Nothobranchius furzeri: one gene and its partners. The protein of the gene in region 2 interacts with the protein of the main gene of each other region in a pairwise test. Links are inferred from orthologs where the notes say so. Each region holds a gene or a part of one and is shown on either strand. Other genes may lie near its edges. The genes, in order: homer2, rnf41, enoph1 and asb6.

Region 1 (4,578 bases), on a different chromosome or scaffold from region 2:
TTTCTCTGATAGTGGCCTTCAGCTCTTCTGGATTGTTGGTCTGGTGTGTTGCGTCTTCCTCTTCACAATACCCCATAGGTCAGGCCAGTTTGCTGGCCAATGAACAGGGACACCATGGTCCTTAAACCAGGCACTGGCAGCTTTGGCACTGTGTGCAGGTGCCAAGTACTGCTGGAAAATTAAACCAGCATCTCCATAAAGTTGATCAAGAGCAGGAAGCGTGAAGCGCTTTAAAACTTCTTGGTAGACGGCTGCATTGACCTTGGACCTCAGATAACACAATGGACAAACACCAGCAGATGACATGGCACCCCAAATCATCACTGACTGTAGAAACTTTACACTGGACCTCAAGCAACATGAATTCTGAGCCTTTCTCTCTTCCTCCAGACTCTGGGGGCCTTGATTTCCAAAGGAAATGCAAAATTTACTTTCATCAGAGAACATACTTTGGACCACTCAGCAGCAGTCCAGTCCTTTTTGTCTTTAGCACTTTAACATGTCTGATGCCGTCTCTTGTTCATGAGTGGTTTGACACACAAGGAATGCGACAGCAGAAACCCATGTCTTGCAAACGTCTGTGCGTGGTGGTTTGCTGACTCCAGCTGCAGTCCACTCTTTGTAAATCTTCCCTACATTCCTGAATGGGTTTTGTTTTCACCATCCTCTCCGGGGTGCCGTTATCTCTATTGTGGTCCACTTTTTTCCTACCAGATCTTGTCCTTTCCTTCTCCTGTCTATTGGTGTGCTTGGACACTGAGCTCTGTGAGCAGCCAGACTCTTTAGCAATGATCTTTTGTGTCTTGCCCTCCTTGTGCAAGGTGTCAATGGTCGTCTTTTGGACAACTGTCAAGTCAGCAGTCCTCCCCATGATTGAGTAGCCTACAGAACTAGACTGAGAGACCATTTAAAGGCTTTTGCAGGTTGGGATGTTGCACCAGAGGTCTTCAAAATTGAACCTTTTCACAATATTCTAATATTCTGTGACTCTGAATTTAGGATTTTTATTAGTTGTCAGTTATAATGATCAAAATGAAGTCAATACACATTTGAAATATATCTGTGTGTGTGTGTGTGTGTGTGTGTGTGTGTGTGTGTGTGTGTGTGTGTGTGTGTGTGTGTGTGTGTGTGTGTGTGTGTGTGTGTGTGCGTGCGTGCGTGTAAACTCTTATTTAACAGCAGAGAGAGTCCAGTTCCAGAAAGCGAGCCTGTTGTTTTAAAGACCAAAATGCTGCAGTCTCACCTGCTCCTTCTCCTGCAGCTCAGCCTCCAGCTCCTTCACTCGAGCGGTCAGCTGGGCGTTTTTCTGCTTCTCCTGGTTGGCTTCGTTACACTGGGCCTCAAGTTCTGCAATCTGAGCAAAGAATAAAACAAGAGGGTTCCCTTTTAGTCAAGTTTCATCTGCCGACAAGACTGCTTTTACTTTATTAACGTTTTATGACATTTATTGACTTGTGTATCAATCTAGTCTCATCTTGAAAACTGACATTTATTGAAACAGAACAAGGAGCGGCAGCATGCGACTAAAGTGTTGTTGCAACAGCAGCCCATGCCGCTGCAGAAACAGCCCACATTGATTATGAAACTAAAATGATTCTATTTATAGTGGACTCAGACTTGTGCTGGGAACACTGAAGCTAATGAAACGTAATGCATTCTGATTTCTCGCCATAGAGAAATCAACATTTACCTCATCAATATTACAGAAGGGATTCTCTTATCATGCTTGACAGATTTTAATATATTAACTCAACTGGTGGGGAGCATCAAATCATTTATCTACTCTTCGTCAGAGGCCACTACAGAAATCTTAAGCTGTCACTAGTTTCTCCACCTACAGGACTGATGTGTGTGTTGTGTGATTCAGCCTTCCTGTAGGACACACTGTGGCTACCTTTTGCCTGAGCGCATCACTCTCCTCCTTGCAGGTGCTGAACTGTTTCTTCCAGCTCTCTACATTAGAGGAAGACTCCTGCAGTGCATCCTCCAGTCTGGCGTTATTTTCTTTTAAAGTTTGGAGCTCCGTTTCCCACTTCTTGGTGTTGGCGTTGCTGCCAGACAGGAGAGACAGAGACATATTAATGGGTGTTAATGATGGAAGTGAAATTGAGACTGAGCAGAAGTGAAATGGCTGAGTCTTGTGTCTACTGACAGGGCACATAATGCTGCAAAAATCCTTCTGTAATGATTTAAAATTAGCCACCATCATGCTGCCAAGTGGTATTCAGGCCCAGCAAAAGGCATAAGTTAAATAAGTTCTTATTATATTTTGTGTATCAACACACAGTTAGTTTTTTAGATGACAGGGTGCATGCGTTTCTTCTAAAATATGGTTATGATTCACATCGCTATTTGCATTTTTCATGCGTGAGTGGTTTAAAATGTTCTAGCCTGTATTTAATGTGGATAAGCTAGCACAGCAGCATCCTGCTGCAACATTTCCACAAAGATAAACCCCAAAGCCCCGTAGAGGACCGGGAAGGACCAACGGGGACAGAGAATAAGCTGAACGTTTTAACAACAGGAGCAGGACACAGGGATCTGATGCCAGGATTTTTTCCTTTTAACTATTTTTTAAGTGACCCATAACACGATTCTAAATGTTTAGAGTAATTATGCTGAAATTATTGTCTTTACAATATAAAATTTTCCATTATTTATTTATATTATTTTATTGTTTATTTAAATCATGAAGACATCACAAAGTCCAGGAATTATTTAAAATTCCTTAACAAAATAAAAGCTGCCCAACATCGTGTTTTATGAATTAAGCTTGTGTCCTTGAGGACAACGTTGGTTATTGTTTTATTGTTGGAGTTGTGAGAGTATAAAAAAGTGGATTTTTTTTTATTTATGCAAAATGTTATACTTAATTTTTTTTTTTAAATCAAGCCCTTTTATGCATTAAAGCAGTTACAGAAATAAAACACAGGAATCCTTTAAATCTATGAAACTAAACATTATCTACAGCTGTAATGGACATTTCCCAACTTGGTTACACTTTAGATTTTCTCCTTTTCCCACCTGGATAAAATATGACTCTCTTTACCATTTTCATAGATACCCAGATTTAATTTAGGCAAAAACCACTTAGTGTAGCCGTTAATTGCCTTCGCCATCCCGAGGTCATTTTGATCCCATCTGGAAGCACATCTGGCGTTTCATACAATAACAGATTTCCACGCATTGGGATTAATGAGTTCAGATAAGCTAACAGTGGAGTGAAGAGTGAATCGTTGTCATTTCTGTGACATCATCTGAGCAGAAATGAAATAAATTGTTCTTCCCAAGTTTTTTTGAAATAAAACCTTACCTCTGCTCTACGACGCTCTTCAGACGTTCGTTTTCAGTCTTCAGCTGGGCGGCCTCTGGACTGACGATGGAGATTTTTTCATCATCTGTTCCGTTAAAGCTTGACGCCTGGTCGGCTGAAGGCGTCTGGCGTTCAGACTCCTAGCAGGGAATAAAATACAGGGGGGGGGGAAGTATTACGATACACTCTCTCTATGTGTAACAAATGACCAGGTCTTACTTCTGCAAAGACCTTGAGCACGCAGTCAGCAGAAGGGTGAGAAAATGCTGTTGCAAATATTTATCACATCATATTGGCCGGCAGCTTTGTGGGTCAGCAGCAGCAGGAGATTGATAACTCAGACAACATTTTAAAAAAGAAGTATTTTTTCATAAAGCCTACTTGTTCTGACTTGATGGCTGCTCACCTTCCTAACCTATGGTGTAAGATGACCCTTGACCTGTCATTTATGAATGTTCTAGATTTTGTTGACATTCAAATCAACTTATTAACAACTAGAACCCATAAACTCTCTCTTCCTCTTAACTACTGGTGATTTTTTCCTCTACTGTACCCAGCAGTGGGTGGGTGAGGCCTTACCTGAGAATTATTAATCACCATCTCCACCTTCTCTTCAGATTTGTCCCTTGCCATTTTGGCAGCATCTTTTACTTCCTGAAATTTTTCAGCAAACTGAAAACACAAGACAAAAGACTGATCGAACAAGCTAACCTCCCATAGGAAATTACAAATGTAATCATTTTTAAACGTTTTGGGTGAATGATGAAGTTAATTATCCAGAATCTCAGGAACAGATAAAACTACTCCCTTCAAAACCTGAAATCCTTTACAGCTTCATGGTGATTAAAACCATCTGCAGTCTCCAGCCAACATGAGTGGCTTTCTACAGAAATGTTTCATCTCACCTTTGACAGCTGCTGCTCTGAAGAAAAACCCAGTCCAAACACCGTGTTGGCCCTGCTGTCTGCCCACTGACCAAACTTCTGTGACGTTTTGGTGAACGTCATGTTGGGTGTGATTGTGCTGTTGATGATAACCTGTCAGGAATAAAACAGCCAATTACATTTCTTGAGATCTGACCGGTCATCGATGGAGTCAGACTAATATATTGACTTCCAGGATCGTTCTCATAGATTTCCATCAGGATGGAACATGCTCAGCTTGATGCTGCTCAGTCACACTCAAATGAAAACATTATAAATATTCATTAACGTAGTGCAGGCACATTAATCTCAGCAACAGAAAACAGTGTCCTAAAAGTTATT
Region 2 (5,328 bases):
AAGGGATGTATAGTGCTCTCTTTAGCACCACCTTGTGTTGGACCCCTCTGCTGTCGATCAAGGTTACCACAGCCTCTCCTCTCCGTTCAGCCACTCCTCTGCTCCGGGTTCCGTCTGCCAGCTCGATGTAATGCGACCTCGGCTCGAAGTCCTCGTCGAACCTCCTGAACCTCTCTGGATCCGTGATAATGTGGGACGTTGCTCCTGTGTCCACCATCAGATTCCTGGTTCTGGTTTCGTCCATCTCGCCGTCAGCGTCTTGTAGTCGGAATGCGTATTCCTTTCCCTCGTAGTCATCAGCAGCTTTCCGTGCTTCATCATCTCTGTGTTTCTTTCTGCACACTTCAGTCTGGTGCGTGGTGGTCTTGCAATGCCTACACCACTTTTTGCGGTCACATACATTAGCTTTGTGTCCCTTTTTACCGCATTTAAAACAAATAAAGTCTTTACTATCAGCGCTCCGCTCGTGCATGCTTGGTTGAACATATTTCGGCTTCAGGTGCTTGACCCTCTCATTCATCCGTGCTGCCATCACATTGTCCTCTGTGGCAGTGTCCACACGCAGTTTTTCAGTTTCTTCATAACTTCTCAGTTTACTTTTAAATTCTGAAAAAGTCATGTCATCATCACTTTGTGTCACATGGATTCTAAAAGGCGTAAATGAGTCAGGTAGACCTTTTAAAACCATTGCTATTAGCAGTCCATCGCTCAAAGTTTCACCTGCGGTTCTCAGCGCTGTAATGGCGGCCTCGGCTCTCAAAACATAATCCGTTACACTCTCGCCGCTCTTCTGCTGTAATGCAGTCAGTTCTGTATATAAGCTTATTATGCGGGGTTTTCCCTTCCCGGCATAGTGTTCTCTCAAGATAATTAGAGCTTTCCGCCCGTCGTCAGCTGCGTCTCTCATCACCAGTGAAAGGCTCTTATCATCCAGGAATTGTATAAGTTCGGCATATGCCTCTGCGTTCTTTGAATCATATTCCTCATCATCGTCATCGTCTTTCGGTTTTAATATAATGTCTTTCAAACCTTGTAGCCGGAGGTGTCCGAGAAACTTTGTTTCCCACAGTTCATATTTATCCTCGTCTCCGTCAAATACCAGTCTTGACCAGCGGGTACTGGCTTCCACTGTCTTCCGACTCATAGTGTCCGACACACGTCGTAGCTCTCACTCGACTCACCGGACTTGCTGTTGGTCGGTTCTGTGCTCCTCACACGCTAGCAGGATGCTTTCCCAGCTGTCCTGATTAGCTTGGTGCGCAGCGGAAGCGTGCTGGGCCCATAACCTGTTAGCAGAGTTTCGTTTACCCAGCGGTTGGTCCAAGACTCCAAAATGAATCTCCAGGATTAAAAAAAGGAGGAAATAAATCCATAAACAGAGCGTCTGTTTCACGGGCCTTCACTGGTGGTAGCACACACTGATTGCGGCCACTAAAACACCAATGCTCCCTTTTATTGGTCAATTTACGAGGTCAAAGTTTAACTTCCTCTACAGGTACTTTTCAGTATAAAAGCATACATGTATATACACACACACACATTCTTATTTACAAATTTACACAGATGCATAACATAACAGAGCATAACAGAGCACATTAGACTGATGCTTAACAATTATTTCACAAAATTGATCCATTTGAGGCTTTTTTATTGGATGAAATCATAATGGAGGAAATGTATTGTCTGAGCTCTTGAAAACAAACAAACTTTTCAACATGGCATTTAGCTTACATTATTATAATATTAATGTGTTTTTTTAATCTCAATGTCATTTCTGAGGAACCCAAATAACACATTTCTCCATTATAACTTGAAGTCCGGATTAATGTTTATACAATTATTTACCCAAAACTGATTAACAAACAGACAATTAAAAAAAGAATGTACAAAGAAACAGCAGTCCGTTATGAAAGTTTTAACCGGATAAGGACATTTTCGACAGTGTTAGTGATTAACATTGTTTCGGTAAGAGAGACATTTTTCATTATAAAATTCACTTTTGGGATTTCTGCAGTTTTGCGTGATGACGTTTCCCCTCGTGTCGATTGAGACGTAGACTTGTATGACGTAGCACCAAGACGTGATTAGCAAGGGGCTAGTGTTGGTACGACGTCTGAAAACAGCCTGAATTGTGAAAAGGATCTATTTTACTCAATGTCTGAGTAAGTATATCAGTCAGCTGTTATATCTTGAGCAGTGCAGCTGACTGTAAACAGCTATTGGTGTGTGAAGTTGTCTCTAACGGAGGTCAGTCTGGTTAGCTTATAGCTAATGTCCAAAGGAAACCAACGACAGCGTAGCCGCTAGCTGGGCTAGCTAACGTTACATATTCAGAAATCGTGACAGTCAAACTGTGCTGCTGTACTTTGTAAACCATTAAGATATTTTTCTCTTTGACGCATGTTTACGTTATTAAAAATCAAGTTTTTACGATTTAGTTTAAAGTGTTATTATATGCGTGAAGATAACATTGAGAAACCTCGATGCTCAGCTAAGTTTTGTGCTCCTTGCTCTGAAATATGATGGAAACATGTTGATCTCAAAGCTGTTTCTTTTCATTTTTTGGAATCATTCATTTGTTAACCAGGACAGTAGATAAATATGTTTATTGTAAAATCACGTTGAAAAGTCAGCCTGAGGATGTGAATATGTATGAAAATGGCTACGCTCAATTTAAAGTTCAAATTCTTTATCCTCCAAAAAAACTGTCGGTATGGTAAATTTTTTTAGAAAGTACTTAATCTCAGATTTCAGCTAGTTAAACTCATTTGAGTACATTGTGTATACGTGATATGGGATTTAATGTTCTTGCATATGTGGTTTACAATCATCAGACTAAAAGTTTTTTTTTAAATGCAATAATTTTTTCCTTTTTATTCAGGCAGGGTCTGTGTCTTTTTAGGCAGGCAGAGCATTTCTGCCAGATGTGAGGAATCGAGGAGCTGAATGGAAATATTTGAGGCAGTTTGTGTTTGAGGTAAACAAGATGTTCTAACCAGAACTGTAAATTATTATTTTGACAAAATGTCAATCATTTTTTGATAGTAATTATTCATAGATAGTGTAAAAAACCCTTCTCATCTTAGTTTTAGCCAGGTTTGTTTCACAGTACTGGTATTTAGTAGCGTAGCAAGTGTATAAATGTAAATGTAAAAAAACAACCACACACACATATATACAAACAGTGAGCTAAAGAATTAGTTACTGTACTATATTACATTATCTTTCTGAGCACTCCTTTTCTATGGCCGTCTCCAAGTTTAGGTCCTTCACCACCACCCTTACCCATGGTGTCCCACAAGGTTCTCTGCTCTTCCTCCTCTATCTGCTTCCTCTTCAGCACATCCTGAGCTCCTTCAAAGGAATATCCTACCATCTTTATGCAGATGACATCCAACTGTACATCTCCTTTAAGCCCCATGAGATGTCTAAGCTGCAGCTGTTACACACCTGCTTAGACTCTATCAAAACCTGGATGGCTGGGAGCTTTCTTCAGCTGAATGAAGATAAGACTGAGATCCTCATCTGTGCCCCAGACAAGCTGGTTCCCAAAGTCAGAGACTCTCTTGGTCAGCTTGCTTCCCACACCAAACCTTCTGTCAGGAATCTTGGCGTGACCTTTGACCCAGCTCTCACCCTGGATTCTCATGTCATTTCTCTTGTTTGCTCTTCCTTCTTCCATCTCAGGAACGTTGCTAAGCTGAGTCCCATTCTGTCCCGCTCTGAACTTGAGACAGTTCTCCACTCCTTCATCTCCTCATGCTTAGACTACTGTAACTCTCTTTTCACGTGTCTGAGCAGAACCTCCCTGAACCGTCTACAGGTGGTTCGGAATGCCTGTGCTCGGCTTCTGACCAAGTCCTCCAAACACACCCACATCACTCCGCTTCTCCTCCAGCTTCACTGGCTGCCAGTCAACTTCAGGGTTCATTTCAAGATCCTGGTTCTGGTCTATAGGGCCTTACATGGACAAGCACCATCTTACATTGGTGATCTTCTTAGTCCCTACACCCCCAGCAGGTCCCTGAGGTCCGGTGATCAAAGCCTACTGGTTGTGCAGCACCAGACTAAAGACCAAAGGTGACAGATCATTTGCTGCTGTGGCCCCCAGACTCTGGAACTCTCTCCCCCTGAGCCTGAGATCAGTGGACTCAGTGGTCTCCTTTAAAAAGCAGCTGAAGACTCACCTGTTCAAGCTGGCTTTTGTATGACCTTCTTCACCTCTCTCTTTTTGTTCTGCTCTCCCCACCTATTCCACCTTCCTCAGGATCCACTGATTTCCCTCTTTCCTGTTCACTCTCTCTCTTTCTTAACATTTTTTAATTACAATTGCCCATTTTTTTTGCTCATTTAAAATATATTTTTAACCATTTTCTAAATTCTTTTTTATATTTTTTCATTTTTTGTTTTTGTGAAGCGCCTCGTGATTTTTATCTTGAGAAGCGCTATCGAAATGATATTTTCTTCCTCTTCATAATAAACAACATGATGAAACATGTCACCTTCTTGTGTTGAAATCTGTGTAAAATACTTTCGGTTTGGGGGGGGGGGGTGAGATTAAATAATTCAGCATCTCAGAAGCCCTTTTACAATACACACCGCCTTAATCTTATAAAAAGGACACGATTGCACCACATTACCGCCACAGTCTGACCACTTATGAACAACCTAAGGCTCCCTGATGCTGCCACGGCATTGCGGCAAATTAATGGCATTGTTTTGTAAAAATGGCTAGAGTGATAATAGAAACATTTGCTCATCAGGTTGCAGTACAAGCATTGCCAAGTATCTCCATTTCTGCTTTCTGAAAGGCATCTGGGTCATCCATTACAATACGATTTGGGACAATCACATTCCTCCTTTACATTATTTTGTTGACAAAGAAATTTTTAATTACATTAAAACAGCTAATATACCTACTATGTGTAGGTGGTTTATATTTAATCTTTTTTAAATTGTGTTGTTCAGGAGGTTGTAGGTTGTGTACCATGGGGTACGACGTTACGAGGTTCCAGGGTGAGGTAGATGAAGACCTGCTGTGTCCAATATGTAGTGGAGTGCTTGAAGAACCAGTCCAGGTAAGTCAACCACATGTATAAATAATAAAATCTGCTCGTGTTCAGATCGTTATATAGTTTGGTCCCAAGTATGAAATCTGTTCTACCAAAGTTTGTTGTTGCACATCCTAATTATACTTTTTTTTTTGGGTTTGTTTTAATTTTAGGCTCCACATTGTGAACATGCATTCTGTAACGCCTGTATAACACAGTGGTTTGCCCAGCAGCAGATTTGTCCTGTTGACCGCACAGTGGTCACTCTTGCTCACCT
Region 3 (5,257 bases), on a different chromosome or scaffold from region 2:
AAGGATGCTTGTTTCAGCTGTGAGATTAGACGATAGGATCAATGAAAAAATAAGTTGTCACACACTCCATGGAAACTTTCAGAGAATCCACAAATGGTGGCTTTCACATGGTTTTGTTACTTTTAAAAAGTTTAGAAAAGCAGCAGATGAGACAGCATGTCTGATCATTTAGTTTTTCATCTGATAATATTAGAACATGTCAGTAATGTCTGAGGGGCTTTTATAAACACTGTATAACTAACACTACTGGAGAGGGTATGAATTACACAGAGGCTTCTGGGGAGCCCAGTTATGGGGGGGGGGGGGGGGGGGGCATTTTGCTTTGGCCCCCAAAATGTCTTGAAACGGCCCTGGGTGTGTGACTGAGTTTTGAAGGTGATCTGAATTGTATCAGATGTATAAATATAACATGTGTATGTATAACTTATTGTTTTTTACAGGTAAAAACGTGTAGTGGAGATAAATCTGCCTACTTTTTACTTTTCAACACTTTGTTTTGTTTTCTTGTTTTTATTTAACTATTTTCCTGTCCTGTCTGTCTCTCATCTTCCTGCATCTCCTCTTAATTCTCCAGAAAATCTGTTGCCTGGATTCTTACCTTTTCACCTCATCAGTTACTTTTGAGCAGATCAAAGGGATCTCCTGACCACACAGCGGAGAGCGCGTTTTCGATGCTGCGTGAGGTGAAATCACCACAGCACAGGTGATGAGCTCCGCAGTAGCGCGCTTCAGGCACAAATAAGACAAAATAGAGAACATGTGCGGACATGAACGATCGTGTGCTAATTATAGTTTTTTGGTTGAACCACTTTGAGAATGGACCGTGCGCTGGAAGCAGCTGCCTGGATCGCTGCACAACAATGCGGAACCGGTTCGCAGCAGCGCAAGTCTGCCGGCTCTCCCTCGCGCTGATCTGCCGGTACCGGCTCTCCCTCGCGCTGATCTGTGGGCTCTCCCTCGCGCTGATCTGCGGCTCTCCCTCGCGCTGATCGGCTCTCCCTCGCGCTGATCTGACTTGCTCTGGTCTGCGCGCAACGGCGGGCGGGAAGGGGGGGCGCTTTTGGAAGAGTTGTGCGACACAACGAATCGATGACGCAATTCGTTGCCAACGCTTTTAGTAATCGATTTTCATCGAATTTATCGATTCGTTGTTGCAGCCCTAGTCCCTAGACAGCTACTGTATTTTAAGATGGTGGATGACCATGGAGCGTCGACCATAGTTTATGTATTTAAAAACGTATAATTTCAGGTTGAGAGGAATATTTAGAATTGATGTTGGTGAGAAATATTAGTGAAAAAGGACAAGTTTGTCAACTGTAAGCACAGGATTTGATAGTAAACTGGTAAAAACATCACACTGTGGCTTTAATCATACCTTTTTTTGTATATTAAGTTTATTTAGACAAAAAAAGTAAAAAAAAAAACAACTGCATTTGTTGTTATTTGAGTGAATTTGGTAGACTTTTATTTTTATTTAATAACTTAAACATTTATTGCTAAATCAAAATGCATTAGTTGTTTTTTAAACTAAAATGTGTTTTCTTCTTTTTTTTCTATTATCATTAAATGCTTATTACAATTTCTCATGAGACAACAACACATAATAGAAACATACAAGGCATCTTTAGTAACAATAAAAGAAAAACAAATAAGAAACTTAAAAAGAGGCACTTATATCACAAAGTAAAAACATTGTTACAAGATTAAACATTTTTCTGCAGCATGACAAATGGCTTTTGCAGTTGCATTTGAATTTTTTATACGAGTCAAAGTGGATAAGAACATATGGAATTCATTTGTGAAACAGTTCATGTTTGGCAGTTGTTTTTTCCATTTGCTTTTGTGGATGTGGTATTTACCCATAATAATAATAATACTGTTAATTAACAATGAATTATTCCCCTTTAATTTAGAATTGTAAATAAGAATATCTTCATTTGTAAAATGATCAAGTTCTCTTATTTTATTTCTTAACCAACAATGGACTTCTTCCCAAAACCTCTTACTTATATGACAGCTGAAAAATAAGTGTTCTATTTCTTCAGGGCTTCCCTGACAGAATTCACAAGGGTCAACTTCAAAACCAAATCTCTTCCTCAGTGTCTCTGCTGATGGATAGTAGTTGTTGAGAATTTTAAATTGCATTTCTTTTACTTTGGGCTTTATAGGCCATTTTATAAATTGTAATTGTTTTTCTTCAATTATTGGATTTCCTTGTATTTTTATTTTAATCTTTCTATCATAATCATGATAGATATATTTTTTAAGGCTCCATTTAAATATTTATTTTCACTTTAATTTCACTTTAAGGCTTTAATCATACCTGTTTCTTTAGCAAATGCACATCTTGTTTGCACTCGTCTTCCTCCCAGTGAGTGGACAGGTGATCCTCCAGATGCTCCCTGATGTAAGGAAACAAAATATCCTGGAAAAGTGACAAAGCCCGGAGTGTATTAGTTTTCAGTTGTTAGAAACAGGCAGTTTTTAGCCGTATGCAACTGTTAGCTCTTTACTTAGCATTACGGTTGGACCCACCTAATACAATAAAAACAAATGTAACTCACCTTAACGAATGTAATTGGTGTAGTGGTTCCCTCGATGTCCAACAAGATTGTTGTAGTGCGAGCAGGAATAGAAACAGTGGCCATTTCTGTAACTAGAATAAAACACAAGGATGGTGGAGGTTCTTATCTTAGCTAACGATAGCTTAGCTTAAATAGTGTGGTGTTACAGCGAGGCTCTGTTCCCACGTGCGTGTCCAGGTCGAATACCGCAAAACCGAGATTATAAATGAGCAGGAAATGGCTTTAGTTGATCTCTGCTACGTGATTATTCAAGCCATTACTTTAGCGAACACACAATGCAACAACTAACTCACATGTTCCGGTCTGACAATTCACCTCCAACTCACTAGGTGACGATACTGAGTATTTTAATAGCAAGGACTCATCATTTAAAAACATATTTTGAACAGTTTACAATTAATAATATTTTGTTTTGCATGTCAGAAAATAATTAGAATTCATTGTTACGTGTGTGCTATTTCTTTGAGGGTGTTAGCTGACTAGATAAATATTCTACGTAAAACACACACACCGTATATTTTCCATTCAATTTTTAATTTTCTCTTTACGTTCACTTGAAATTATAATCTGCCGTTCAAAGAACGTTTATTTTAACCGTGTTTAATGTTTACACTTAGATGTTGTATAGGTTACCCCGTCTGAAACTGTTCGCTGCTGTCAGCATCAGCATGGTCGTCATAGGTGTTCCTCGGCAAATATATTTGTGCGACTGCGAAGACAAAAATGTTAGGTGAAGAAAATATATAACTTAAATTATGTACTTTTTGATGAGGCGAGTCGGATGTGCGATAAAGCTGTGTGAATCTCTTTACATCTGAACCGAACACAAGGGGGCAGGGCAAAGCCAGTGGGAGAAACAGTTTTCAACGGGGTCACACATTTCGACGTAACACCGGCACGTTTGGGTGACGCTGTTCCCGGTTTGGTTTCCTAATTCATCCGTTTTTAAAACAGAGAAGAAGAATCCGGTGACGGTGATAAAAAACGACACAAAACGACGCTCTTATTATTAAAATAACATTTGGAAGATAGTTAATTATCAGTTTAAACGCTTTAAATTTCTGTTAATCAAAACCTTAGATGTTTCCGTGAAGAAGCTACACGGTTTGCGTTTGCTTCGTTTTTTTATCTGATGGTATTTGATAATAAATATTAGCTAGCCACTAGCTATCTGTAGCGCAACTTCTATTTTTTTGTGAATTTGTATTTTCTCAAAAATTCCCGGTGCCGCTTTAGTTAAAAATTAGGTGCCTGAAAAAACCAAAATATGTCGAAGGATTATGAATTCAGCGAAGGCTCGAGCCTGATGAGAATGGAGGAGGATGGAGATGCTAACAACGACGACCCGATGTCCGCTAGTGGGGACTGTGGCCTGACGATGGGAGGCGAGGCCGAAGGGTCGAGGATTGACGCCAGTAAAAACGAGGAGGACGAAGGGTATGTTACTGTTCCAGCTTCATAACGCGGTCATTTATTATTTCACTCTCAGTCAAAGCTTTTGGACTTATATGAAGGATATACAACATGGATGCTACATCTGCATAAGTACATATAGAGACAAATTCAGCAAGGAAATCGGTAAGACTTAATACATTTACACAATTATAAAGATGTTTATGTTGAGTAGTCAAAGTGAGAATAACGGGACACATTTCTTTAGCATGTTGTTGACTCTGCTGTCTCACTCCGTTTAGATATAACCATAATCAGTTGGAATGCAAGAAAATCAATGCTGTGATATTTCATGTCACTGAATCAATATTTCTCGATGTTTGTAATTCACAATTTAAATGTTAACATTTACTGTAATTATTTTGTTTGATGCAATTCAAACTCTGACTGCTAGGTAGCAGCAGTTTTACTGCCTTCATTCTGATGGAACGACAAGATCTCGAGAAAACGCTGGATGTGTCTTGAAAGCGTCTGGAGTGATTTAAAATTAAATTCAGTCTTTAAAATAGCTAATCATGTGGCTTTTAGTATTGCATTATATCGTATCATCTCCCCTTTATTGTGATATTTGTCATATTGTCAGATTCTTGCCCTAATAACATGGTTATTTGGAGGAGGGCTTAAGGAGAGACACTGCACAGTCTCCCCTTAAGACCTCAAGTTACTTTGGTGTTAGGGCTGGGGGTAAACGATTAGTTTTAAAATGATTATTCTGACGATTATTTTATCGAATAGTTGACTTTTCTAATGGCGATTAATCTAATTATTATTTGTCTATTGCACAATTAATAAAAACCAGAAAATCTCAAATAAATTCTTCAAAAAAAGTGATCAACTGGTACTGTAAGAGAATAGAAGAAGAAGAAAATATCATTTCTATAGTGCCTCTCAAGATAAAAATCACGAGGCTCTTCACAAAAACAAAAAAAAATGTAAAAATATAAAAAAGCATTTAGAAAATGTTTTAAAATACAGGGTTTCCCTTACATAGGCGTAGCCGTGGCGGCCCGCCATGCGCTGTTTCCCGAAGAAGCAGCGGGAACTACTATGTTGTCGCTTGTGATCACAGCCGGCGGGCAGCAAGAAGAAAGGAGCAGGCAGAGCAAGGTGACGTTACAGCATAAGTTACTGAGTTTAAAATTAGAAAGGTAGCAATGGATATAATGCATTTTGGTTTACATGTTTCAATAGCAGTAAGATAAACAAGTGTTAACGATCTT
Region 4 (5,230 bases), on a different chromosome or scaffold from region 2:
TTGTCCCAGTACATTTCTTCACTCATCCTGCGTTCAATAATATGAAGTCCGCCAGTACCCCTTTCTGAAATGCAGCCCCACATCATGATGCTTCCACCCCAAAACCTAACTGTCATAGGTGGGCAGTGCCATTTCTTCTTCAAACATGGTGTGTAGAACGACAGCCAAAAGTTCAATTTTGCTTTCATCTGACCATACTACAGACTCCCAGTAACCTCGGCTGCACACTGAAAGCTTCAGCGACGTGGAACGGTTTACCCGCGATAATCACTGCACTTAAGTGCACACCAAGAGTCTCAGCAGCGAAGCAGCTTCTCTGCCATGCTCTTCGTTCAACTTGCAAGATCACAATATCCCTCGAGACTTCTGCCAACCTCCTCGCAAGACCACACGATCCCTCGAGACTTTAAAGGTTACGGTTTGTTAATGCAATCCACCATAAGAGGAGGGGTACCCAGAGTAGTTTTGGCTCGTTAAATAACAACAGACAGCTACAGCTTATAATTTTGACTCTCCCATATTCCAGTTAGAATTGACAAAGCTCCTCAGATGAGAAGTGAAACATCTTTGAGAAACCAAAGAAGTCCAGTTGCCCTCATTTGAACCTTTTTGGATTACCATGACCTGGATGACCGAGAACCTTCACCAGCATACAATCCACTATTGAACAAAAAAAGAAGGAAATCACGTCGTTATCGCTGTTTGATGTCATAAATTATGTTGTTCCTCTCCACTGCCAGGATAAAAGCCACGAAAACACACCGCTGCACTTTGGGAATGATGCTTTGAGTAAATAAACCGTTAGGTCACACGTAAGCTTCATAAATATGTAATTGCTTCACTGCAATACTTTTATTTAGAAAATTACTGGGGATTTTACACTGAAACTGATTTCCTGTCTAGCCCTATGTTAACTGCGATAATTGATGCATCCCAGAAGCGACTCACCACAAAAATAGAACCCGATCCTACTATGACGGTGCGACATGCTGCTTCTGGGACATGTCTGAAAATTGCCACACCGCGGCTGCTTTGTTACACTCCATTGAAAATAATGGATTTTATTTGAAGCAGTGCCGTTTCGCACCACTGACGCTTCCACTGTGCAGTAGGGGTTAAACTTACTGCACATTGGAAGCAAAAGTGGCAAGGTTTCACTCTTAATACTGACTGTAATTTCAGGTGGTCTCCTGGCTTTCTTTGCCATTTTGCACATTGTTACCCTCCTTCATGTATTTAATACTTTTTCCCTGTGTTATTTGTGTAAGCGGGGTAAGTTATATGTAAGTGATGTGTAACTTTATTACACATAATTTATGAACTTAAAAGTTTAGATGTCTTTGAATGAATTAAACACTTGAGTTGAAAGTGACTGATGGACATTTTGTGTCAGTAACTCATTTAGAAAAACGCTTACTGATGAAATTACTGATGTGTCCAGATAGGAATATCCAACCTCTGAAATGAGGGGTCTGTTGCTATGATGTGCTGCAAAGTCAAGTGCATAAAAATGTTTCATTCATACTTTAAATGAAGTTAAAACAAGTTAGTAAAATACAAAAAGTTTGAATGCATTTTTGATGACATTGCTGGTGTTTCAGCAGGTTCTTATTGTGTTTTTAGCAGCATTTATTATTGAGTTTTTAAACACTTTTATTAAATTGTTTAAACTCTAAAATTTTATTCATTTACTATTTTACTTAAATTTAAATTTCCTAAAACCATCTGCTTAATAAATGCTCTAAAACAACTGACATTTATTTTGATTTACCAGTTTTATAATGAAATGTTTCAATGCTGTGCAATGCACAAAATTAAAATTGATGGGTTGGTAAAATTCAGTGTTCAAAAACTGATTTAGGTTCAGAAATGTACACCCATTCTTGTTATTAACAAAATTTTAGCTTGCAAATAAGGAGGAAAACATCTAAATATCAGCCATGAAAATTAGCCCAAAGAATCAGGACCAACGATCAGCCATCGGCTAAACATGACCTTTACATACATGCATCTGATTCTGCAATAGAAAAACCCATATCAGAGACATGCAGCAATGAGATGAAGAGAAGAAGTTATCTACACGTAAAACACACATTTAACACTTACTACAAGGTAATATTGTAACAACAACCAAAGAGCATCTATGTCTCAATAAACATTTTCAGTAAATTTAGTTTTTGATATATTTGTGCATTACCGCACATCCCTAAATGAGCAATCCTCCTTTTTCCTGGAGTGTTTGCAAACTTGGACACACTATCCAAGGATGACTCACCTTCAAAGTTGATATCAGCTCCATATTGTAGAAGGATTTCTGCGGCATACTCAAGTCCCCGCTCGGCCACTTTAAACAGAGCATAGCTGATGCCTTCCAAAAACACTTCAGACTGGGACTCTTGTTCCAGAAGCTCCACCAAAGAGCTGCTTCTACTGGACTCATCCTCGGGACTTTTGGCACAACTGAAAGATAAGTAAATGTCTCATCCAAAGCTTTAAAAAAAATCAATTTATATTTTAAATGCAGTGGTTGTTACGATACAGAAACTGATCATGATATAAAAAAAATTACCCGTTAATGTAATGTTGTTGTTTTTTTTTTAGCAGAATTACCTGGTGTCTTGACTGCCATCTTCTTCCTCAAGTCCAACAACACGCATGACAGCATTTACAAGCGGCTGATACTCAAAAATGATCCTCCGGAACCCGTGGAGGAAAGGCATGGTTTTTACACTTGTACACACTCCAACAAAACTCTAGCGTGGCCAGAATCCAAAAGAAAATCAAAAAGGAGATGTGTCAGCGCGACTTACAGAGCGGGATTAAAAACAACGTGAGTTCAGCGGACCTCCATGAGTATGTAACAGAGCAGAAATTATGTAAAAATTGTGAATAAAACGTCTTAAATAAACGCTATCTGTTCATAGAAAGTAGGTCGATTTTGTTATCTCCCCGTGAACATATTTACCTCATTCGTTCATAAGACATCTAAAACTACAGATAATTGAAGCTTCACTGATTAAATTATTAGCTTTAATTATTTATACATTATCTTTGTCAAAAAAAGTGAATTTACTTAATGGATGAATAAAACTCTTACAATAATACAGTGCAGACTGGTACTTACGAGCCTTTGATTTCAAAACAGGAAGTTAACATGAACACCCCTGTGGTCCCACGGTGATTGCCTTCCCATTTAAACTGCATGACTAAAGTTCCGGTTTGCAGTGTAAAATAAAATAAAATAAAATAAAATAAAATAAAATAAAATAAAATAAAAATCATGTTGTTTTATATCTAAAAGGCTATGCGTTCAATTGGGAACAATGCATTCTAGTAATAAAAAAGGAAGCAAACTAAGAACCTATAGATCTGTTGAATTTATGTTTCTGAGCACTAACTTTGGAAAGATGTTGCTGACACTGATGAAACAGACGATTAGGCTAATTTGATTAAACACAAGCAAAGAAAAAGAAGCTGTTATGATACGTTTTATTTGTAATGTAGAACTTGGTGTCGGCTTTGAAGGAAAGATGATAAAAAAAATTGCAAAGCTATTAATTCCACTTCCATATGGAGAAATGTTTAGTAAAATTACTTGTTCTCTATTCAAATTTGATACTAGCAACTCACATGTGTAAAAGTTATTGTCGGGACACAATTGAACACTGTAAACATTTTTTTTAACAATAAATAATTTTCACTAGTCTAAAGATGGCCTAATATAATTTGGTATAATTTGCTTTAAAACCCTTCAAATGTTATTTCACTTGAATGAACATGTAAAATGCTGTCTCTTTCACTTTGGAGACACATTATTAAACTGTGGGTGATGGAGTTTCAAACTGCTCAAGATGGTCTTTAAAAGTTTCTTTTGAATGATTAACAGGCATTTAAAACATTAGTGTGGTAAAATGTAATAGGCTGGTTTTTGTTTCTGTGATTTAGATAATATTTGTGTTTGAATTTCACCCATTTTTTTTTCCAATATTAAGTTAGATTTCTCCTCCCTAATACAGTTTTTGCAGCTTACATTCATCTCCCCAAACACAACAGTACCATTAACATTTAACATACCACTTTCATTCAGCAATCAAATCACTGATAAGTTAGTAACTGACATGTCAGTTTTGACCAAGAAATGTTCTTTGTTTGTTTTTCACTACTGCAGTCATCTGGTGGTACTTTTTGTTTTAATTATTTGTATCTCCATAAGGTACATTATTGTCCAGCAGCAGGAATTCCAATTTTTACTACTTAATTTCATTGACAGCATCAGTTTTCTAACGTTTGCTTTTGTCCTGCTCAGCAAACGAACCCCTGAGTTGGTAACAGATGGCTGTCTTTGAAAACTACTGAGAAGGGCTCTCATACAAGATGTCACTTTTGAAACATGCACATTGTGTTTTCTGTGTGAGCTAACGGCAGCAAATTTGAACAAAACATATGTTGTTCTTGTCAGACTGCCTCGGGTATGTAGAGACGCAAAGGATCTGCTCTAGGAAACCCACTTTAATGTTTCTTTGCTTATGATATTAGGACAACTTTGATTTGAATAGCTGTAGAAAAAATAAGGAAAGATGCCAATCAAAAAATCTTAAAGTAAAACTCTAAAAACGACTGTTCTTTGAAACTTTGGATGCAGTTTGTGACTTCATTGCTGTGTGGATGCTCAGTCTTTAGGTGGCAGCATTGCAGTGCTCACATCCTGCCTCTAGGATCTATAATCCACAGCTGTTATTACACAGCTCATGCATCAGTAAACGTTTTTATGTGTGCATGAAAGTGAACTTAACTCATCATGTAAATGTGACCATGTACTGAATCCCAGACAAACTTTGCTGGTAGAATTCATTTGGCAAATTGAGAGCTCCACTTGTGTAACAGAAAACAGAATTCAGTCATTTGATCAGATTGATTCATTCTAATTTTGCCATATTTAAGGCAATTAACACAATCACAATCTGAGTAACCTGATCAATAAAGCAGTGCTCCTAGAATGTCTGCCCTTTAGAGCATATTATCTCTCAAAAGTCTCTTTTGCTCTTTTCACAGGTGTACTTAATTTATCCACAACCCATTACTAATAACCTTTCCTTTGCCGCTGCTGGTGAGTGAGTCTTTCTGAACAGTTTCTTCACTGTTCGTTTGTTGAAGCAGACAATCTCGTTTCCCCACTGCCACTATGTGGTCACAGGGGCATCCAGTTTCTTGTTATGTGGCATGAACAATA

Evidence for each region.
Region 1: the proteins of rnf41 (region 2) and homer2 interact in binary tests that used the Homo sapiens proteins (3 or more experiments, as listed by UniProt). The link is inferred for Nothobranchius furzeri from reciprocal best matches to the Homo sapiens genes RNF41 and HOMER2.
Region 3: the proteins of rnf41 (region 2) and enoph1 interact in binary tests that used the Homo sapiens proteins (3 or more experiments, as listed by UniProt). The link is inferred for Nothobranchius furzeri from reciprocal best matches to the Homo sapiens genes RNF41 and ENOPH1.
Region 4: the proteins of rnf41 (region 2) and asb6 interact in binary tests that used the Homo sapiens proteins (3 or more experiments, as listed by UniProt). The link is inferred for Nothobranchius furzeri from reciprocal best matches to the Homo sapiens genes RNF41 and ASB6.

What each region holds. Positions count from the first base shown.
Region 1 is NC_091749.1:41,496,114-41,500,691, reverse strand, and holds part of homer2 (homer protein homolog 2), read right to left. Parts: intron 4,351-4,578; coding exon 4,219-4,350; intron 3,986-4,218; coding exon 3,893-3,985; intron 3,454-3,892; coding exon 3,314-3,453; intron 2,052-3,313; coding exon 1,895-2,051; intron 1,355-1,894; coding exon 1,244-1,354; intron 1,236-1,243; exon of another isoform or gene 1,221-1,235; coding exon of another isoform or gene 1,180-1,220; intron 1-1,179. UniProt on the Homo sapiens protein: Postsynaptic density scaffolding protein. Binds and cross-links cytoplasmic regions of GRM1, GRM5, ITPR1, DNM3, RYR1, RYR2, SHANK1 and SHANK3.
Region 2 is NC_091755.1:37,149,036-37,154,363, reverse strand, and holds the start of rnf41 (E3 ubiquitin-protein ligase NRDP1), read left to right. Parts: upstream 1-2,037; 5' UTR 2,038-2,162; intron 2,163-2,881; 5' UTR 2,882-2,977; intron 2,978-4,968; 5' UTR 4,969-4,988; coding exon 4,989-5,078; intron 5,079-5,224; coding exon 5,225-5,328. Other genes in the region: uncharacterized protein, read right to left, coding at 1-1,144. UniProt on the Homo sapiens protein: Acts as E3 ubiquitin-protein ligase and regulates the degradation of target proteins. Polyubiquitinates MYD88. Negatively regulates MYD88-dependent production of pro-inflammatory cytokines.
Region 3 is NC_091746.1:62,893,841-62,899,097, reverse strand, and holds the start of enoph1 (enolase-phosphatase E1), read right to left. Parts: upstream 3,186-5,257; 5' UTR 2,964-3,185; coding exon 2,879-2,963; intron 2,862-2,878; exon of another isoform or gene 2,657-2,861; coding exon 2,565-2,656; intron 2,426-2,564; coding exon 2,324-2,425; intron 1-2,323. Other genes in the region: heterogeneous nuclear ribonucleoprotein D0, read left to right, coding at 3,853-4,022. UniProt on the Homo sapiens protein: Bifunctional enzyme that catalyzes the enolization of 2,3-diketo-5-methylthiopentyl-1-phosphate (DK-MTP-1-P) into the intermediate 2-hydroxy-3-keto-5-methylthiopentenyl-1-phosphate (HK-MTPenyl-1-P), which is then dephosphorylated to form the acireductone 1,2-dihydroxy-3-keto-5-methylthiopentene (DHK-MTPene).
Region 4 is NC_091757.1:35,485,899-35,491,128, reverse strand, and holds the start of asb6 (ankyrin repeat and SOCS box protein 6), read right to left. Parts: upstream 3,196-5,230; 5' UTR 3,125-3,195; exon of another isoform or gene 3,098-3,124; intron 2,754-3,097; 5' UTR 2,721-2,753; coding exon 2,611-2,720; intron 2,461-2,610; coding exon 2,276-2,460; intron 1-2,275. UniProt on the Homo sapiens protein: Probable substrate-recognition component of a SCF-like ECS (Elongin-Cullin-SOCS-box protein) E3 ubiquitin-protein ligase complex which mediates the ubiquitination and subsequent proteasomal degradation of target proteins.